Linked DNA regions of Anolis sagrei. Each later gene encodes a partner of the first gene's protein in a complex. Links are inferred from orthologs where the notes say so. Each region holds a gene or a part of one and is shown in the gene's direction. Other genes may lie near its edges. The genes, in order: NCKAP1 and CYFIP2.

Region 1 (9,367 bases):
TACACTGCTTTTCACAGCCAGTGGTGATGACTTTTTTCGCATTGACAGTGTAATTTCAAGGGCTATCAAAGACTGTAGTTTCATCAGCATTTCCAATTTGTCTGAATTCATATTTCCCTTTTCTCCTTAATTTGATCACCTATCGCTGAAAGTTAATCAGCTTCTCTTGAAAGTCTGCAGGATTTTTTTGACAAATAAACATTCAATGCCTTGACAATAACACCCCCCCCCCCCCCCCCAAATGATGCATAGCCTGTCTGCCTTCAAAATTGTTTTATCTTTTCCGAGGGACTTGGTAATTTCTATGGCTTCCAACTGCATGGATTGTGTAGTCATGGTTAACCCCTTTGTGCATGCCTGCAATACAAAACTTAGCACACCTTCCTTTCTACAAAGCACTTGGTTGAAACTCTGCACAAAAATATGGAATTGTGAGCATTTCTCAAACAACAAACCTTTACCTCAGTGATGTCAAAATGTCAACCCAGAGCTCCGTTGCCATGTGCTTCTGCATTTTTATGTGAATGCAGCTTCATAGTGGTATCTTTTTGATATTTTGAGGTGTAATAAGGGATCACATTGAATGAAATATAGCCCCGGTAACTCAAGGTTGTTTCAAAGATACAACAAAACCTTGCTTCGCAATAGTGGCTGGCTACACACTTACAAAGTGCACCACTTTGTTAAAAAATGGACTGGGGGAGCAGGATGAAGGTGGGTTTTGTGGTGGAATATAAAACAAACCACAAGTTTGTTGGATCAGCCCACACACTGCCTTACCAAGGAAAGAAAATATGCAACGCAGGTGAACAAGTAGTTTACTCTTCTTAATTCAGATCGACATATGTACAATATGATCAGTTGCATCAACTCACTAAATGTCTTTTCAGAGAGATTTAAAATGGTAATTCTTTGTCCATATGAGAGATTTTCTTTTCAGAAGCCAAGAAGCAAATCAGTTTCTCTCTCACTCTGCTTCTCTCTTCCAACTGTCTCTCTGAACACATGCATAGCCTTGAGCCTGAACAAAAGTGCAAGTTTCCAAAAGTTCTAGGCTAAGCCATCACTCCATGCATTGCCCGACCGATTGGCTTCATGCACTTTATTTTACAGTTGACACACACACACTCACTGATTCCTTGCATTTTCTAACAGGTTTCCCATCAAAACTAAAACGTATCACGTCATTGGCAAAACATGGGAAATTTTTTAAAACAGTGACGCGAATACACTGTCAAATGTAAGGTGCACCCAATTTTTAAGCCCCTTGAACAGGAAAGAGTGTCTTGAAATCAATAAAATACAGTATGTTCCTACATGAGTTTAAAAGTAATTGCTCGTCCAACAATTGCATGGATTTTCTTCTTAGCTTCCTGTTTTCATTTTGATTTCCCCACTCCCTAGACATTTTTTCTGATCTTGTACTTTCACCTGCTAGATTGCTAGACTAGTCTACCCAGTTTCATTTTCACATCTACACTTCGGAGGTGGAGAGCAATAATTCTTGGCAGTTGTTCAAAAGCTTTTTAGTATTCCTTGAGTCAGGTGCATTTTTTTACTTTTACATATAACTTGGAAAGGTATGACCTAGTTTCAATATATAAGTATGCCACTAGACTGTGGAATGACCTGCTGGAAGAGATTTGACAGCCAAATGAGCTGTCAGAATTTAAAATTCAATTAAAGACCTATCTCTTCTGGCAGGCCTACCCAGTCAATTTAAATTTACATTTCGTTAGCAAGAACTATTTTAACGTGTTTTAATCTTAAGCCAATATTTTAACATTTGTACTTCCTGTCTGGGGGAGAGTTGATTAGCTGGTCCCGATTGTTTCCTGTCTGGAATTCCCGTTTTTTGAGTGTTGTTCTTTATTTACTGTTATAGTTTTAGAGTTTTTTTTAATACTGGTAGCCAGATTTTGTTCATTTTCATGATTTCCTCCTTTCTGTTGAAATTGTCCACATGCTTGTGGATTTCAATGGCTTCTCTGTGTATTTATTTATTTATTTCATTTACTTATACCCCGCCCTTCTCACCCCGGGGGGGACTCAGGACAGCTTACAGTGGGGGCACAATTAGATGCCCAAGACAATTCACAAGCAGTACAAAATACAAACAATTCAACAATTAATTAAAAACATCAATACATAATAAAATCATAAAGCAATCTCATGCTCAGGGTTCAGAGTCCATATATCCATTCCATTCCATTTGTCCTTGCCATCATCAGATCCTTCAGTTAGCTGTCAGAATGACCAAAGGCTTGTTCCCAGATCCAGGTCTTCAGTTTTTTCCTGAACGCCAAGAGGGAAGATGACGATCTAATCTCCCCGGGGAGTGAGTTCCACAGGTGGGGGGCCACCACTGAGAAGGCCCTGCTCCTCGTCCCCGCCAACCTCACTTGTGAGAGTGGTGGAGTCGAGAGCAGGGCCTCCCCAGAGGATCTTAAGCTTCAAGGTGGGACGTAGAGGGAGATCCGTTCGGACAAATACACTGGGCCGGAACCATATAGGGTTTTGTAGGTCAAAACCAGCACTTTGAATTGTGCTCGGAATTGGATCGGCAGCCAGTGGAGCTGGCGCAACAGGGGGGTTGTATGCTCCCTGTACACCGCTGTGTAGTCTAAAATGGTGGTTGTTAGTGGTCCAACATTTCTGTGTTCTCAGATAATATGCTGTGTCCAGGTTGGTTCATCAGGTGCTCTGCTATGGCTGACTTCTCTGGTTGAAGTAGTCTGCAGTGTCTTTCATGTTCCTTGATTCGTGTCTGGGCAATGCTGCGTTTGGGGGTGCCTTTGTAGACTTGTCCACAGCTGCATGGTATACAGTATACAGGCTCCTGCAGAGGTGAGGATCCCTCTTGTCCTTTGCTGAACATAGTAGCATCTACACCTGCCTCAAGCAGAGAAGAGTTCTTTCTCCCACCCTCGAGATTCCACAAATGTCAGTCAGTGCCAGAATCAATCAGGGCCAGCTTATTTATTTATCGTATCAGAAGCCCGACTGCTCATTGGAGGGAAGGATAGCAGAGGCAAAGATTAAGTACTTTGGCCACATCATGAGAAGGAAGGAAAGCTTAGAGAAGACAATTATGCTGGGGAAAAGGGAAGAGGAGCTGACCAAGGACAAGATGGATGGATGGCACCCTTGAAGTGACTGGGTTGATCTTGAAGGAGCTGGGGGTGGTGACGGCTGACAGGGAGCTCTGGCGTGGACTGGTCCATGAGGTCACAAAGAATTGGAAACGACTGAACGAATGAACAACAACAATCAGAAGTGAACCGAGGGTACAGTTGCAATGTATTTAAAAAACAAAGTTTTAAAAAAACTTAGCATTATTCTAAATATCAGTTGACCAGTAGCTGGCCACTTGGAGTGCCTCTGGTGTTGCTATAAGAAGGTCCTCCATTGTGTATGTGGCAGGGGCTCAGGTTGCATTGTAGTAGGTGGTCTGTGATTTGTTCTTTTCCACACTCACATGTCGTGGACTCCACTTTGTGACTCCACTTCTTAAGATTGGCTCTGCATCTCGTGATGCCAGAGCACAGTCTGCCCAGGAGGAAGTCTCTTATTCGGTATGACTTGAGGTTCTGGGTTTTAACCTGCCACTTTTGGGCTCTTGCTTGCTAAGGTGTTCCTGTGACTCCAATATCTCTGTATATTTTATTTATTTATTTATTTATTTCATATACTTCTCACCCCCGAGGGGGGACTCAGGGCAGCCTCACAGCAAACACAATTCGGTGCCATCATAATGATAAGAACAATCAACAAATTCATTAAAACAAAACATTAAATAAATATCTTCGAAAACTATTTCTTGATTTGGTGTGCTGGCTGATATCTGAACAGGGGATGGGCATTTGTAGGCAAGCTAACACCTCTCAACAAAAGATCCCCCCAGGAAGCAACCAGCCAGGCTTTGAAGCTGCAAGCCCCGGCCCAAATTACCTGTCCGAACGCATCTCCTCCTATGAACCATCACAGAGATTAAGATCCTCAGGGGAGGCCCTGCTTTCCGCCCCGCCATTGTCACAGGCACAATTGGTGGGGACGAGAGACAGGGCCTTCTCGGTGATTGCTCCCCAGCTATGGAACTACCTTCCTGGTGAGATCAGGTCAGCCCTCCTCCTTCCTGTCCTTTAGAAGGATGGTAAAAACTTGGCTGTGGGACCAAGCTTTCGGGACAGGGCAATAAAGCGGCAATAGAAAAGATGACCAATTAGATTTTACACAGATGACTAGGATAGTTTTAAATGGGGTATTTTAACATTTTGATAAATGTTTTTTTTAATGTTTATATATTGTATGTGAATTTGTGTCCCGGCATTGAATGTTTGCCGTATATATGCTGTGCTCCGCCCTGAGTCCCCTTCGGGGTGAGAAGGGCGGAATATAAATGTTTTAAATCTATATAAATAAAAATGTAATGTTCATTTGTCAGCCCATTGTATGCTAATCAAGGTGGTCAGTTGAAAGATTCACACCTAGCCCAAGTTACAAAAGCCTTTTGTCTCACCCTGGTCATTCCACAGATATATAAACCCCTTTTTTCCCCAGTTCCAGCAGACCTCACCTCTGAGGATGCTTGCCATGGATGCAGGCGAAACGTCAGGAGAAATGCCTCTAGAACATGGCCATATAGCCCGAAAAAACCCACAAGAACTGAATGTAATGTTCGTTTGTGATATTAACTCAAAAACCACTGGGGGAATTGACGACAAATTTGGACACAAGGAACCTATCAGGCCAACATATGTCCTTCACCACAAAAAATTGATTTTGTCATTTGGGTGTTGTAGTTGCTGGGATTTATAGTTCACCTACAATCAAAGAGCATTCTGAACCCCACCAATGATGGAATTGAACCAAACTTGGCACACAGTTCTCCCATGACCAACTGAAAATACTGGAAGGGTTTGGTGGGCAATGTCCTTTGGTTTTGAAGTTGTAGTTCACCTACATCAAGAGATCACTGTGCAGTCAAACAATGATAAATCTGGACCAAACTCTACACGAATACTCAATATATCCAAATGTGAACACTGGTAGAGTTTGGGGAAAATAGAATCCTGACATTTGGGAGTTGTAGTTGCTGGGATTTATAGTTCACCTACAATCACAGAGCATTCTGAACCCCACCAATGATAGAATTGGGCCAAACCTCCCACACAGAACCCCCATGTGGGCCACAGCAACGCGTGGCAGGGGATGGCTAGTAAAATAAATAAATAAATGTTAATCAGTGTGGCCAACTGCAACATTCACACTTGCCTCCAACAGACAAGAGTTCTTTCTCCCACCCCGGACCTTCCACGGATATTTAAACCTCCCTTGCTTAGTTTTCAATAGACCTCACAACCTCTGAGGATGCCTGTCATAGATGTGGGCGAAACGCCAGGAGAGAATGCTTCTGGAACATGGCCAGACAGCCCGGAAAACTCACAGCGACCCAGTGATTCCGGCTATAAAAGCCTTCATAATTCGATCCTCAGAATACGAGTAGGAGTTCCACCGCTCTGTCAACCCTGCTACGGGATCCTGGAAGTTGTAGTTTCGGTGGCCCCAGGGCTGTTGGGCGGAGAAGGCGGAGGGAGGCCTGGAGGGACCACAACTCCCAGCAGCCACCGCGCGCGTGCTTTCCTTGGCGCTGTCCCGCCGGAGGGGGCAGCAGAGGGCGGCGTCACGTGGGGCGGAGGAGCCCGGCCTCTCCGTGGGAAGAAGCAGCAGCAGCAGGAACAGAGGCCGGGCTGGAGCCTCTGCTTCTGCCGCCGCCGCCGCCACGCCTAAGGAAGGCAGCCGAGCCTGAGGGAGAGGGGAAGAGAGGAGCAGAGGCGGCGGCGGCCCGGCCATGGCGGCTGCGTGAGGGAAGGCCAGAGGAGGAGGCGGCTGGCTGGCTGGCTGAGTGACTGACTGACGGAGGAGGAGCCGCCGCCTATCGCCCCCGTCCTCCTCCTCCTCCTCTGCTTTCTCTCTCTGTCTCTTCCCTTCTTTCCTCCTCTCTCTGTCTCTCTCTGTCTCCCAGGATGTCGCGCTCGGTGCTGCAGCCCAGTCAGCAGAAGCTGGCCGAGAAGCTCACCATCCTCAACGACCGCGGCGTCGGCATGCTCACGCGCCTCTACAACATCAAGAAGGTGCGCGCGCGTGTGCTGCGTCGTGCGGGGGGGGGGGGGGGGAGGGGAGAGAGAGAAAGGACTCCCTTATCTATCTCAATATATATGTCTGTGTGGAGAAACGGCACTCTATTAATGTGTTATTCTTCCCCCCCTCCCTTCCGCTTCCTCGCGCCGCCATTAGCGTAACCTGCTCGGCTCTCCTTTGGCTCGCGCCCACTCTTCCGCCCTCCCCTCTCTCTCCCGGCGCGCGGGCCTCGACAGCGTTCGTTTCCCAAGCATTTTATATAGACGTATATTATATACACACACACACGGATAGATACGGGGAAGGGGGCTCGCGCGGAGGGGCGGGGCTTAGCTCTGGAATCTTGAGGAGGGGAGGTGTTCTCTCTCTTTCTCTCCTCCCCCCCTCCTTTTCCTCCATTAGTCAGCGAGGCTGTGTTTGGCTCTGAGGCGGAGGCCCTGTGTTTCTTCAGCCCTCTTCCACACAGCTGACTAAAACCCCACATTCTCTGCTTTGAACTGGGATATGTGGCAGCGTGGACTCAGATATCCTGCCTTAATGTTCTGGGTTATATGGCTGTGTGGAAGGGCCTCGAGAGAAGCTGTTTGAGGGCCCTTCCTTCCACACAGCCCTATATGCCAGAATATCAAGGCAGAAAATCCCACATTATCTGACAGTGGAGTCAGATAACTCAGTTCAAAGCAGATATTGTGGGATTTTCTGCCTTGATATTCTGGGTCATGGGCTGCATGGAAAGGCCCTTAGTTATATGACAGTGTGGACGCTTGACAACCCAGGACCCTTCCACACAGCCCTGTATCCCAGAATATCAAGGCAGAAAATCCCACATTATCTGAATGTGGATTCAGATAACCCAGTTCAAAGCAGATATTGTGGGATTTTCTGCCTTGATAATCTGGCACATAGGGCTGTGTGGAAGGGTCCTTAGTTATATGACAGTGTGGACTCTTGACAACCCAGGGCCCTTCCACACAGTCATATAACCCAGATTATCTGCTTTGAACTGGGATATCTGAGTCCACACTGCCACATATTCCCATTCAAGCCAGAAAATGTGGGGTTTTATTCAGCTGTGTGGAAGGGACCCCACTTCCAAGCAGATATTGTGGGATTTTCTGCCTTGATATTCTGGGATATAGGGCTGTGTGGAAGGACTCTGAGTCCACACTACCATTTATTCCAGCTCAAAGCAGAAAAATGTGGGATTTTATTAAGCTGTGTGGGGTCCTTCCACACAGCCTTATATGCCAGAATTTCAAGGCAGAAAATCCCTCAATATCTGATTTGAACTGGATTATCTGAGTCCACACTCAGATAATGTGGGATTTTCTGCCTTGAAATTCTGGGATATAGGACTGTGTGGAAGGGCCCAGGAAGGGGCCTCAGATAATCCTGTTCAAAGCAGATATTGTGGATGGTTTGCCTAGATATTCTGGGTTATATGGCTGTATGGAAGGGCCCTCAGTTGTTTCTATCAATCTCCCTTTGTGGGGATTTGCATACACAAGGCCTGGGCCGGATGTACCGTTTAGTTCTCACCATCTGGTTGTTCCTCTGGAAAAAGGAAGCAGCCAGGATGTGTTGTGGTAAGGGAGAACCATTTCCTCTTTTTCCCAATTCTGAAAATCCAAGACTCCAGATTTGTTTTTTGTTTTTTAAAAGAAATGGATTCAGCAGGGATGGCTGCCTCCATATCTAACATGTAATTAAAAATGTCTTCTCTTGTATGCGGAAATAAGGAAGATCCCCTACAGCGTATAGGAAGCCTACACTTTTTCTCATTCCCACCTCACCTTGTGAGTCATGCAGCTGACTTGAGGGAGAAAATGACATGCTCTTGCTATAGTTCTCTGAATAGACACGCATCCTTTTTTTTCCAGTTTGAAGGGGAAAAAGCTTCCAGGGAATGTTTTCAGATGGTTCGCTATGTGAACATTTGTTCCAAGGATTAGGTAGCAGCTGTTCTTCTACCCAAGGGAAGGAGATATTTTCATGAAGAAAAGAGAAAGATTTGTGATCAGTTAAAATTCTAAACCGATGCGTTACAATAATCAGCGTGCCACTAGAAATACTTCCTTCCCAATGTAATATATCTGTGACATTTCTGTTGAGACTTAATTGATCTGGAAAACCAAAACCAACAGCGTATGAGATCGTTTCTTTTCATAATTTCACCCAGTGTATTGTACTGTATGAACACATATATTAAAGGTTGTTTTTGTGGTTTGGGTGCAGTTCAAAAACTAGTGGACATTTATGTAGCCGAGTCTATCAAACTTGTATTCAAGTAATTAGCATTTTTATCTGAATGTATTCATTTTAAAAACATTGTCCCATGAATGGATATTTTCTTACCACAGCAGAGTTTCCTTGATGTTGTTTTCAATTTCTGCATAAGTTTCAAGAGCAAGTTTTGATTTTTGTGCCTGTGACTTTTCATTGCTGCTGTACTTCCAAGCAGTGCTGGATTAGGTGGATTAATGAGTGATACAGGGCACAATCATGTTCATATTTACATATACAGGCAGTCCCCGAGATACAAACATCCGACTTAAAACAACTCAGTTGACAAGGGGGGAGAGACAACAGGAAGTGAGATAATCTACCTGTTGGAAGAGAAATTCACTCCTGGAAGAGTTATCATGGAGAACAGGGGTCTTCATTGAAGCTTTCTCACCAATCCTTGTTTCCCCAACAAGCCAAAGTTTTCAAAATCCAATTATCACAGGGACAGAAAGTGAGGTCAAATCTTCTGAACAAGCAGCAAAACAAACACCACAAGAGTGTTAACCCTTCCCTGAGCTATCCAAAAATAAATATTTCTGGCTGGTGTTACACTTGTACCTGTTCCAAATTACAAACAAATTCAACTTAACAAACTTACAGAATCTTATATTGTTCATAACTTGAGAACTAGAACAGGGGTTCATTTGGCCTTTTTTCCTCAGGAAAATAGGCACACATTCTGAAGCATAAAAAAAATTAAAGATTCCTCTATATAAATTAATTTGCCACTATTAAGAGATCCTGAACAGACACTCTTAATTTGTAATGGGAAAATAGTTCATGTGCTTTCAGTAAAAGGAAAAGATAAAGATTTTTCCAGTCAAAAGTGTGTTGCATAAATTTGACTTTTACAAAGAGTTAAAACTGCTCTAATGAAAATATGTCTGGTACTAAAGCTTCATTAGTACATTATGCAGTGTGTACTCATGTACCTGCAGTT
Region 2 (9,167 bases), on another chromosome or scaffold:
TAGACTCCTCGGCTAAAGGAGGTCTGTCTGGTTCCATGTATACTCACCTTTGAGCAAGCAGTGAAAGGGGTTGTCTCTTTCTTAGCAAGAGGTTTGTCTCTTTCCTAGCGAGACTGTAGTTGAATAGCATTTGTATTTAATGTTTGTAAAGGTTTGATGCTGTGATTTTCTTTTATAAACTGTGTGCATTTCATCAATATGAATTCCACTTTGAGCATTTTAAGGATGTAAAATAATGGAGGAAATTACCAAGAAATAACAAGATAAATATAACATGCTTATAAAATAAAAGAAAAAATATTTATAGATTACTGATTGGACTGACTAAGGAGTAATGAGCTTTTATAATTTTTCATGTAAATACTAACTTCATTTATGTTTTAATATATGTTTTGTAGGTCTTTTATTAAAATAATTATTTTTATTCTTATATATCCAAGTGACCTTAAAATGAGAATTTTATAATAAACACTTGTTCTGCCAGGACAGCTATGTCCATAGCAGAGGTCTGTATGTAAATTTCCTTTGTGTAAATTTCCTTTGTCCATCTGCATCACAATATGCTGAATTTGCTGCATGTGTCTTGCAATGCTAGCAAAGCCATGTATTCACATCCAGGACCACCTATTATTGCTAATATTAACTCACTGAGCACAGCTATAACTGCATTAAGGTCTAAACTTTGATAACTCTCATAAGTACAAGCTTCAAGGTAATGACTGGATTTAGAGAGCATTTAGAGGTATCTTGACATTCTATTGAAAACAGATTATATAGTAATCACATGCCTCTCATAATTATATGGAGAAAACAGCTTCTTCAAGTTCAGAAACATGATTGGCACTAGGCACACAGCTGGGCAATTTAAAAATTACTCTGCAACAAAGTAGAGGACATCAAGAATTTTTACTCTAGTCAAATGCAATAGTGTTATGTTCAAAATACACTGGAAACAAGCTTGTTAAGGCAATTTTCTATTGCTGTCTTCATTTTGCTGTGTGGCACAGCTCCCTTTTTATTGTACTTTCATCACTGGTAGCAGCAATACTAAGAAGATGTGAGCCAATATTCTCCACCATTTCTTTCTGTCTTTACTTAGATGTTAAATATATGGCCATCATTTACTGCTTGTAATTTGAGAACCTAGGCTGCTTTGTCAGATTTTCACTTCTGTTCCTCTCAATGGTGAGAATAGTATTCTGAAATACCACTCACACTCCACTCTATGTATCTGAGAAAATAGACGTAATCTATCTTTTAGAAGATGTAACTTCTTTTATTTACTGATGTAAGATCCCTTTGCACAGTAACACTCTAGACAACTAGCAAAACTTGTAAATTATTCTCATTTTTTTTTGCTGAAATATGCTTGAAAGTTCACTGATCTTGATCATAGTAATTGAAAGATTGTAAATGACCTCTCCTGCTTAGAAATGTCATGACATTTATTCCAGTTCATAATCCAAAATGTTCAGGCTCCTACCCAATGAACATTTATGAATATATTTAGCTTTGTGTAAGGAGGATAGAATGCATACCCATTATGGCTAATAGGATTATTCATCCACATAAAGAAAAACCTGTAAATCTTTTCAAGGTTACTCTTAGATTAATTCTTTTTCCCCAGCGTACTGTAGTGTGAGATTTAAATTGCCATAAGGCTTGGTTCTGGAAGCAGTAAGAAATCAAATATAGGAATATTGGTATTTTCGTGTACTGACAAAATTCGTGTACTGAGCCCATATTGAAAATATAACATCCTAACTACAGATTGTCCTCTGTAACCAAACTTGGATGGAAATTATCTTATAAACAGAAAAATGCAGTCAATGTCTGTAGACTGCCACACAAGCAAGAAAGAAGAACCAAAAGCACTCTATATGATGTAATCTGATTTATTATTGTTACTGGACAACCTCAGATGCTTCAAGTCAACAGGCTGTATAATAACTACGAACACAAATCCTTGTAATGGTGCCTGACCGAAGCCAGGGTGGAAAGTTTCTGTGTATTATTCTGTTCTATATCAGAAGAACCACTTCATTATCACCATGTCTTCTGCTCTCTATTTCCATTCCATCTTTAAGGAAATTAGGAGATCTCATGGCCACCAAGCAACCTGCCATTTTTGAATTAAATACAACCCCCCCCCCCCCAAAAACAAAACATGAAGTCACAATCAAATGGTCTTTTCCGTAATAACATGACATGAGTGATGAGTGGGACCCAGATGTCCAAAATATATAGAATCACAGTGTTGGAAGAGACCACAAGGTCCATCTAGTCAGGCATGTAGCCGGGGGGGGGGGGGGGGCTTGAGGGGCTTCAGCCCCCCACCCTCCCGAAATTCTCATGGTGGTTCACGAAAAGGCCTTACTGGTGCATTATTTAAACTGTTATGTTTATTCATATCATGATCTGATCACCATACTCAATATATTCCATATGCATGGGGGTATTGGGGTAACGATACAAAAGGTTTGCTAGGGTAGAGCCTCTTTCACTCAGACTCAGCCCCCCCCCCCCCCCGAATCGAATTCCTGGCTACGGGCCTGCATCTAGTAGTCCAATGCTCTGCCATGCAGAAATATACAAAAGCACTGCTAAAAGATGCCTATCCAATCTCTGTTTAAAGATCCCCAAGATGCGGAATCCACCACCCCAACACCAGTTCATTCCACAATCAAATAGCTCTTAAGAGTTTCTTCCAAATGTTTAGATGCAATCCATTTTCTTGTAATTTGAACCCATTGGTTCATGTTGGTTCATGTTCTAGTGTCCAAAGGAGTAAAATATGACCTTGATGCATGTGAACAAATATGTGTCTGAAGCCATACAGCTCTCTGAAGTGAGTTGGGAAACAGAACAGAAGGCAATGCAACTATCAGAAGGTGTTGGTCAGGTCAAATCGGGATCTTAGCAATGCAAGAGCTGTACCTGCTGAGTTGAGAGCCAGTATGGTGCATTGGTTTGGGCACTGAGCTAGGATTCTAGTAGCAGACCAGTGCCCGAATCCCCCTTGATCATGGAAACTCACTGACTGACCTTGGGCAAGTTACTCTTTCTGAGCCTCAGAGGAAGGCAAAGCCAAATCCTTCTCTGAGGAAATCTTGCCAAGAAAATCCCATGATTGATTTGCCTGAGGGTTGCCATAAACTGACAATGATTTTGAGGCACACAACAACAACAACAACAACAACAACAACAACAACAACTGATTAAGCTGTAATTCCAACCTGGTTTTAAAGGAAACATCATGCAACTTACTTGTCGTATCAGATCTGGCAATTACCAGAGCATGGATACTCTCAGATTTTCTCTTATAGTATTTATTGACAGAATAACCTTTCATACTGTAGTAGATGCTTAGTTACCTTAGTTCGGGCACTGAATGTTTGCCATACTTGTTGGAAACTATCCTGAGTCCCTTCAGGGAGATAGGGAAGTCTATAAATAAAGATTATAATTATAATAATTATTTACCTGGAACTCAAGCAACCAGAATTCTCAATCAACTAGCAAAATATCTAAGAATTAATACTTTAAATCAAAATTTAAATAAAATATTTTTTGCAGAAATTTTACATTCAATTTGTCTTTGTTTGCTTTTCATTACTGTATTTCAATATGAATACCAAGTCAGTACAAAGTTTATGGTATGGTCTCATACTATTGGTCTCATACTATTGGGTATAGTATGAGACCAATTTTTAATAGCAACTCTCAAGCAATTGAAAAATACACCTACCAATCCTGATGGGTGCTGGTTCACCGAGGCCCCTTCTACACTGCTGTTTTGAACAGGATTGTAACTGGATTATGAGTCTGCACTGCCAGATAATCTAGGATAAACAGAAAGCCTATGATCAGATTCTGGGATATAGGGCTTGTCTGGAAGGGCCCTGAGTCTATAAGGAATAAGTCATATATCAGGCATCCTCAAACTGTGGCCCTCCAGCTGTTTGGGCCTTCAACTCCCAGAATTCCTGACAATTGAACAAGCTCATTAGGGCTTCTGGGAGTTGGAGGCCCAAACAGCTGGAGGGCCACAGTTGAGGATGCCTGTCATATATTTTTAAAAGAACATACATAAATGAAAGGCTTCCATGAGATATGTTGCATTCCCGTACGTTTTGTTATTACTATTGATGTAAGGGTCCGTACCTCTTACGAGAGGTTGATTTGACCTCTGGTTTGCTAGTAAAATGAATCACAGTGTTGTGAAATGATCCATGTCTGAAAAGGCTGACATATTTGGAAAACTCTGGTCTACTACTTCCAGACAGGCCAGGATCTGATCCCAGGATTTCTGCTTGAAACTGCATTATAAGAGTCCATACTGCCAGATAATCTGGGATAAAGGGAAAACCTGAGATCAGATCCTGGGATATATAGGGCCTGTCTGGAAGGGCCACAGGAGGACAAGATCTGCCCATGTGAAGCAGGAGGAGGGAGCCAGGTCATGTTTCAAAGGTGAAAGGTGCAAAGGTCCACCAACATTTCATCCATGGGTTATTAGGATATATATAACCCAGAATATCTGCTTTGAACTGGGTTATCTGAGGGCTGTTCCACACAGCTGAATAAAATCCCACATTTTCTGCTTTGAATTGGAATGCATGGCAGTGTGGACTCAGATAACCCAGGACCCTTCCACACAGCTCTATATCCCAGAATATCAAAGCATAAAATCCCACAATATCTCCTTTGAAGTGAGATATCTGAAAATACCACATTATCGGAGCGTAGACGCAATTAACCCAATTCAAAGCAGATCTTGTGGGATTTTCTGCCTTGATATTCTGGGATATAGGGCTGTGTGGAAGGGCCTAAGTCTCTGCCTTTGGTTTAAGCCGGTTCTTCTCTGGAGCTGAATGACCACCCATCTCCTATTGTCTGCCGAACAGGTGGAGCTCCCTCTGGAGCCAGGGTCAAGAGTGGAGCAGGCTGGACACGTGTCTATGCGTGTTTGTGTGAATGTGTGCAGAGCCAGCCTTCCCCTCCTCCTCCTCCTCCTGAGAGCGGGGGGGGGGGGGCGATGCATTGAGAGCCCAGCAAGCCCATAGGCTGCGGCCATTTCCTAGCTCTGTCGGTGCGAAAGGGAGAGAGAGAGGGAGGGGAGAGGCACGCACACGCGTCCATATGCCCACACAAATACACTGAGGCAGCGGCAGCAAGAAAAGGAAGCGGGGAGAGGAGGAGGAGGAGGAGGAGGAGGAGGCGGCGAGGGCTTTGGCGGCGGCTGAGGAGGAGGAGGAGGAGGAGACTGCGGCGGCGCTGGAGCATCTCTGCCTCTTCCCCGGCCGCATCCCGGCGCTTCTGAAGTCCATCCGCAGAGGGCCGGACTCAGCCTCCCAGGTAAAGAAGAGGCGCCCAGAGGGTTGGGGAGAGAGAGGGAGAGGCAGGCTGCAGAAAGAGGGGGAGGAGGAGGAGGCCAAGCAAGGCTAGGAAGCTCAGTATGGAGGGAGGGAAGGCTAGGGAAACGACGGGCCGAAAGCGCAGGTGCTGCGGATGCGCCTTCTCTGTCTAACGGAGAGAAACAGGGACACCCCGCTCTTCTCTTCCATCTCTTTCCCCCGGGTGCCGTGTGATGAGAAAAGGAAGCCGCCGGTGGGCTCGGGGAAGGCTGTCACAGCCTGGGCTGAAGGGCGAGGCTGCCATGATTGGAGCCTCCCGGCAACAGGCTTCTCCTCCTCCTCCTCCTCTTCTTCTTCCAGAGGTGCTTCATTCTGCCTTCGCTTCGGGTATTTTCCCCCCGAAGCGAGCGGGGGAGGCGGCGGAGCAGGCGCAGGTGCCGCTGTCCTTCTCCTCCTCCTCCAGCCTTTGGGCCCCAACCAAGGAAAGGCTTTTCTGAGAGATCTCCCAGAATGCTCCGAGCTACCTGGGCTCTTCCCCGCCGCCTTATTTGTGAGAGCGCACCCAGCCAGGAGCGTGTGATCATGCAGCCCTCCTGCTGGGAGAGAGAGAGAGAGAGAGAGAGGAGGGTGGAGAAGATGGGAGCGTCTCTGGTCCCTTCCACACAGCCCTAGATCCCAGAATATCAAGGCAGAAAATCCCACATTATCAGAGTGGAGACTCAGATTACCCAGTTCAAAGCAAATATTGTGGGATTTTCTGCCTTGATATTCTGGGATGCGGGGCTGTGTGGATGAGCCCTCACAGTTCAAAGCAAATACAGTGTTCCCTCACTTATCGTGGGGGTTCCATTCCAGGACCACCCACGATAAGTGAAAATCCACAAAGAGGGATGCCACATTAATTTTAATATTTATACATTATTTTATATATATTATATATTATTTTCTTATCCACCTCCCAGCCCATCCCAAGGCCTGCCTCCCTGGCCTCCGCAGACCGCAGCAGATCCTTCAGAGCCATGCAGGCAGCAGCAGGCCAGGAAGGCAGGCCTTCCTCACCGCACCCCAGGCTGCCACACTTACGGGATCTGTGGAGGCCAGGGAGGCAGGCCTTCCCCACCGCGCTTCAGGCCACCACACTTCCAAGGTTCCTGGCCTCCACTGGATGTAAATATTTTGTATTTTATATTAATATTTTCAAAAACCCACAAAACAGCGAGTCCACTAAAAGCGAACCGCAAAGTTGCAAGAGAACACTGTATTGTGGGATCTACTGCCTTGATATTCTGGGATGTAGGGCTGTGTGGAAGGGCCCTCACATAACCCAGTTCAAAGCAAATATTGTGTGGTTTTCTGCCTTGATATTCTGGCATATAGGGCTGTGTAGAAGGGCCCTCTCTCTCAGGGCTTCTCCAGGAAACACAGTGCCTGTTGGCGCTCCATACAACCCTCCTCAAGTTGGAAGAGAGCAAAGCCACCATCCAGCAGACTGCAGGGACACCCAGGCCCCGTCCACACTGCCATATAACACACTGCCAATTTCAGATCCAAGATTATTTGCTTTGAAATGAGTTATATAATAATAATAATAATAATAATTTAATTTAATTTAATTTTAATTTAAGGTCAGTGCAGATCCAGCCCTGGTCAAATCCAAATTGGATTTAGTTGAGTAATGGCTTTGAGGATCACATCTGAGCTCAACAGTGAATCAGTAATGTTATCATTGGGTGCATTTACACCAGCCATGGGCCAACTTGGACCCTCCAGGTGTTTTGGACTTCAACTCCCACAATTCCTAACAGCCTCGGGAGTCGGGACCTTTCCTTTTCCCCCTCAGCTGCTTAAACGTCTGAGGGGGCAAAAGAAAAGAGCCTGAGGCTGTTAGGAATTATGGGAGTTGAAGTCCAAAACACCTGGAGGGCCCAAGCTTGCCTATGCCTGATCTACACTGTGGAATAAATACAGTTGGACAATACTTTAACTGGTATGGCTCAATGCTATGGAATCACGGGAGTTGTAGTTTTGCAAGGTCAATAGCCTTCTCTGCCAGTGGTGCCTCACCCAATCACCTCTCCCAGGATTCCATAACATTCAGCCAAGTGGTGTCAAACTGCATTGTTTCTATAGTGTGGATGCACCCTATGGAACACAATGGCTATTGAGTCTCCAGATTGGGTTGGTTTTGGGGTTCACATCTGAGCTCTGCAGTCGACCGGCAATGTTGCCATTGTGTGTGCGTGTGTGAAGTTGGAAAAACAGAAGGTGTGGTGCCTAGTCACAAATAGATCCGGGTGTGGGAGGTAAATGGAAAATGTTCAAAGGGAAATGATTTGGATTCACAGCTGGAGTGCGCATTCTCCAAACTGAAAAATAAAGATGACAAAAGTGGTGGAAGTGAAGAATTGAATAAATAAGCAGCCATGTAAAAATATTTTCTGAAACGGGGAAAGAAAGGTTTAGAGTAGAGCTTTCCAAACTGTGTGTCATGACATGTGAAGTCTGTCAGCTGCAGAGTGTAGGTGTGTCATGTGAACTTAAGAAACCTCTGAGTCTATGGGAAATGATCAATAAATCATATTTTAAAAAATATAAATGAAAATTGTTCATGAGATATGCTGTTTGTACCATGCATTTCAGTACTGCAATTTATGTACGTGTCTGAATCTCTTATAAGAAGTTTGTTTAACCTCTGGTTTGCTAGTGAAACTGAATTACTGTGTCATGAAAAGATGCATGTCTATTAGTGTGTAGTCAACACGAAATGGTTGGAAAGATCTGGTTTAGAGCCACTGAGAATTAAGGTTGATTTCAAATTTGTGCAGCTCTGCACAAACATTGTTTGGAGCTGAGCAATAAAAAAAAAACAAGCATGGTTTTCCAGTTATTTCCTTCCCATGTCATTTTACATTTATCCCTCTTAATACATTAAAACAATATTATATAGCAGGGGTTGCTGTGAGTTTTACGAGCTGTATGGCTACATTCCAGAAGCATTCTCTCCTGATGTTTTGCTCACACCTGTGCCAGGCATCCTCAGAGATTGAGGGGTCAGTTGGAAACTAGGCAAGTGGGGTTTTATATATCTGTGGAATGTCCAGGGTGGGAGAAAGAACTCTTGTCTGTTGGAGGCAAGTGTGAATGTTGCAATTGGCCAACTTGATTAGCATTGAATGGTCTTGTAGCTTCAAAGCCTGTCTGCTTCCTGCCTGGGGGAATCCTGTGTTGGGAAGTGTTAACTGGCCTTGATTGTTTCCTGTCTGGAATTCCCCTGTTTTATGAGTGCTGCTCTTTATTTACTGACCTGGTTTTAGAATTTTTTTAATACTGATTTTGTTCATTTTCATGGTTTCCTCCTTTCTGCTGAAATTGTCCACATGCTTGTGGCTTCTCTGAAATGGTGGTTGTTAGAGTGGTCTAGCATTTATGTGCTGTCAAATAATATGGTGTGTCCAGGTTGGTTCATCAAGTGGCTGACTTCTAATTTCCAACAGACCTCACAAACTCTCAGAATGCTTGCCATAGCTGTGGGCAAAATGTCAGGAGAGAATGCTTCTGGAACATGGCCATACAGTCCAGAAAACTCACAGCAACTCAGTGATTCCAGCCATGAAAGCCTTCAACAACTCACCAGATATCTCTGGAAGTCTTTTTTTAGTGTGTGCTCAGTTGGGGTTGAATTTAAACAACCAACACAGAATTTGAAGTTGCTGATACAGAAACAGAAGGGCCATCTGTTGCTGTTGTTTTGGTGACCGGGACTGTGGAATTTCATATCATAAGAACCTCAAGTAATGCTGTTGAATTGCC

What was found.
Region 2: NCKAP1 (region 1) and CYFIP2 share a complex: the UniProt entries of both Homo sapiens proteins name them as parts of the WAVE1 complex. The link is inferred for Anolis sagrei from reciprocal best matches to the Homo sapiens genes NCKAP1 and CYFIP2.

The regions. Positions count from the first base shown.
Region 1 is NC_090021.1:187,185,561-187,194,927, forward strand, and holds the start of NCKAP1 (nck-associated protein 1), read left to right. Parts: upstream 1-5,675; 5' UTR 5,676-6,026; coding exon 6,027-6,134; intron 6,135-9,367. UniProt on the Homo sapiens protein: Part of the WAVE complex that regulates lamellipodia formation. The WAVE complex regulates actin filament reorganization via its interaction with the Arp2/3 complex. Actin remodeling activity is regulated by RAC1.
Region 2 is NC_090022.1:80,528,151-80,537,317, reverse strand, and holds the start of CYFIP2 (cytoplasmic FMR1-interacting protein 2), read left to right. Parts: upstream 1-5,235; 5' UTR 5,236-5,358; intron 5,359-9,167. UniProt on the Homo sapiens protein: Involved in T-cell adhesion and p53/TP53-dependent induction of apoptosis. Does not bind RNA. As component of the WAVE1 complex, required for BDNF-NTRK2 endocytic trafficking and signaling from early endosomes.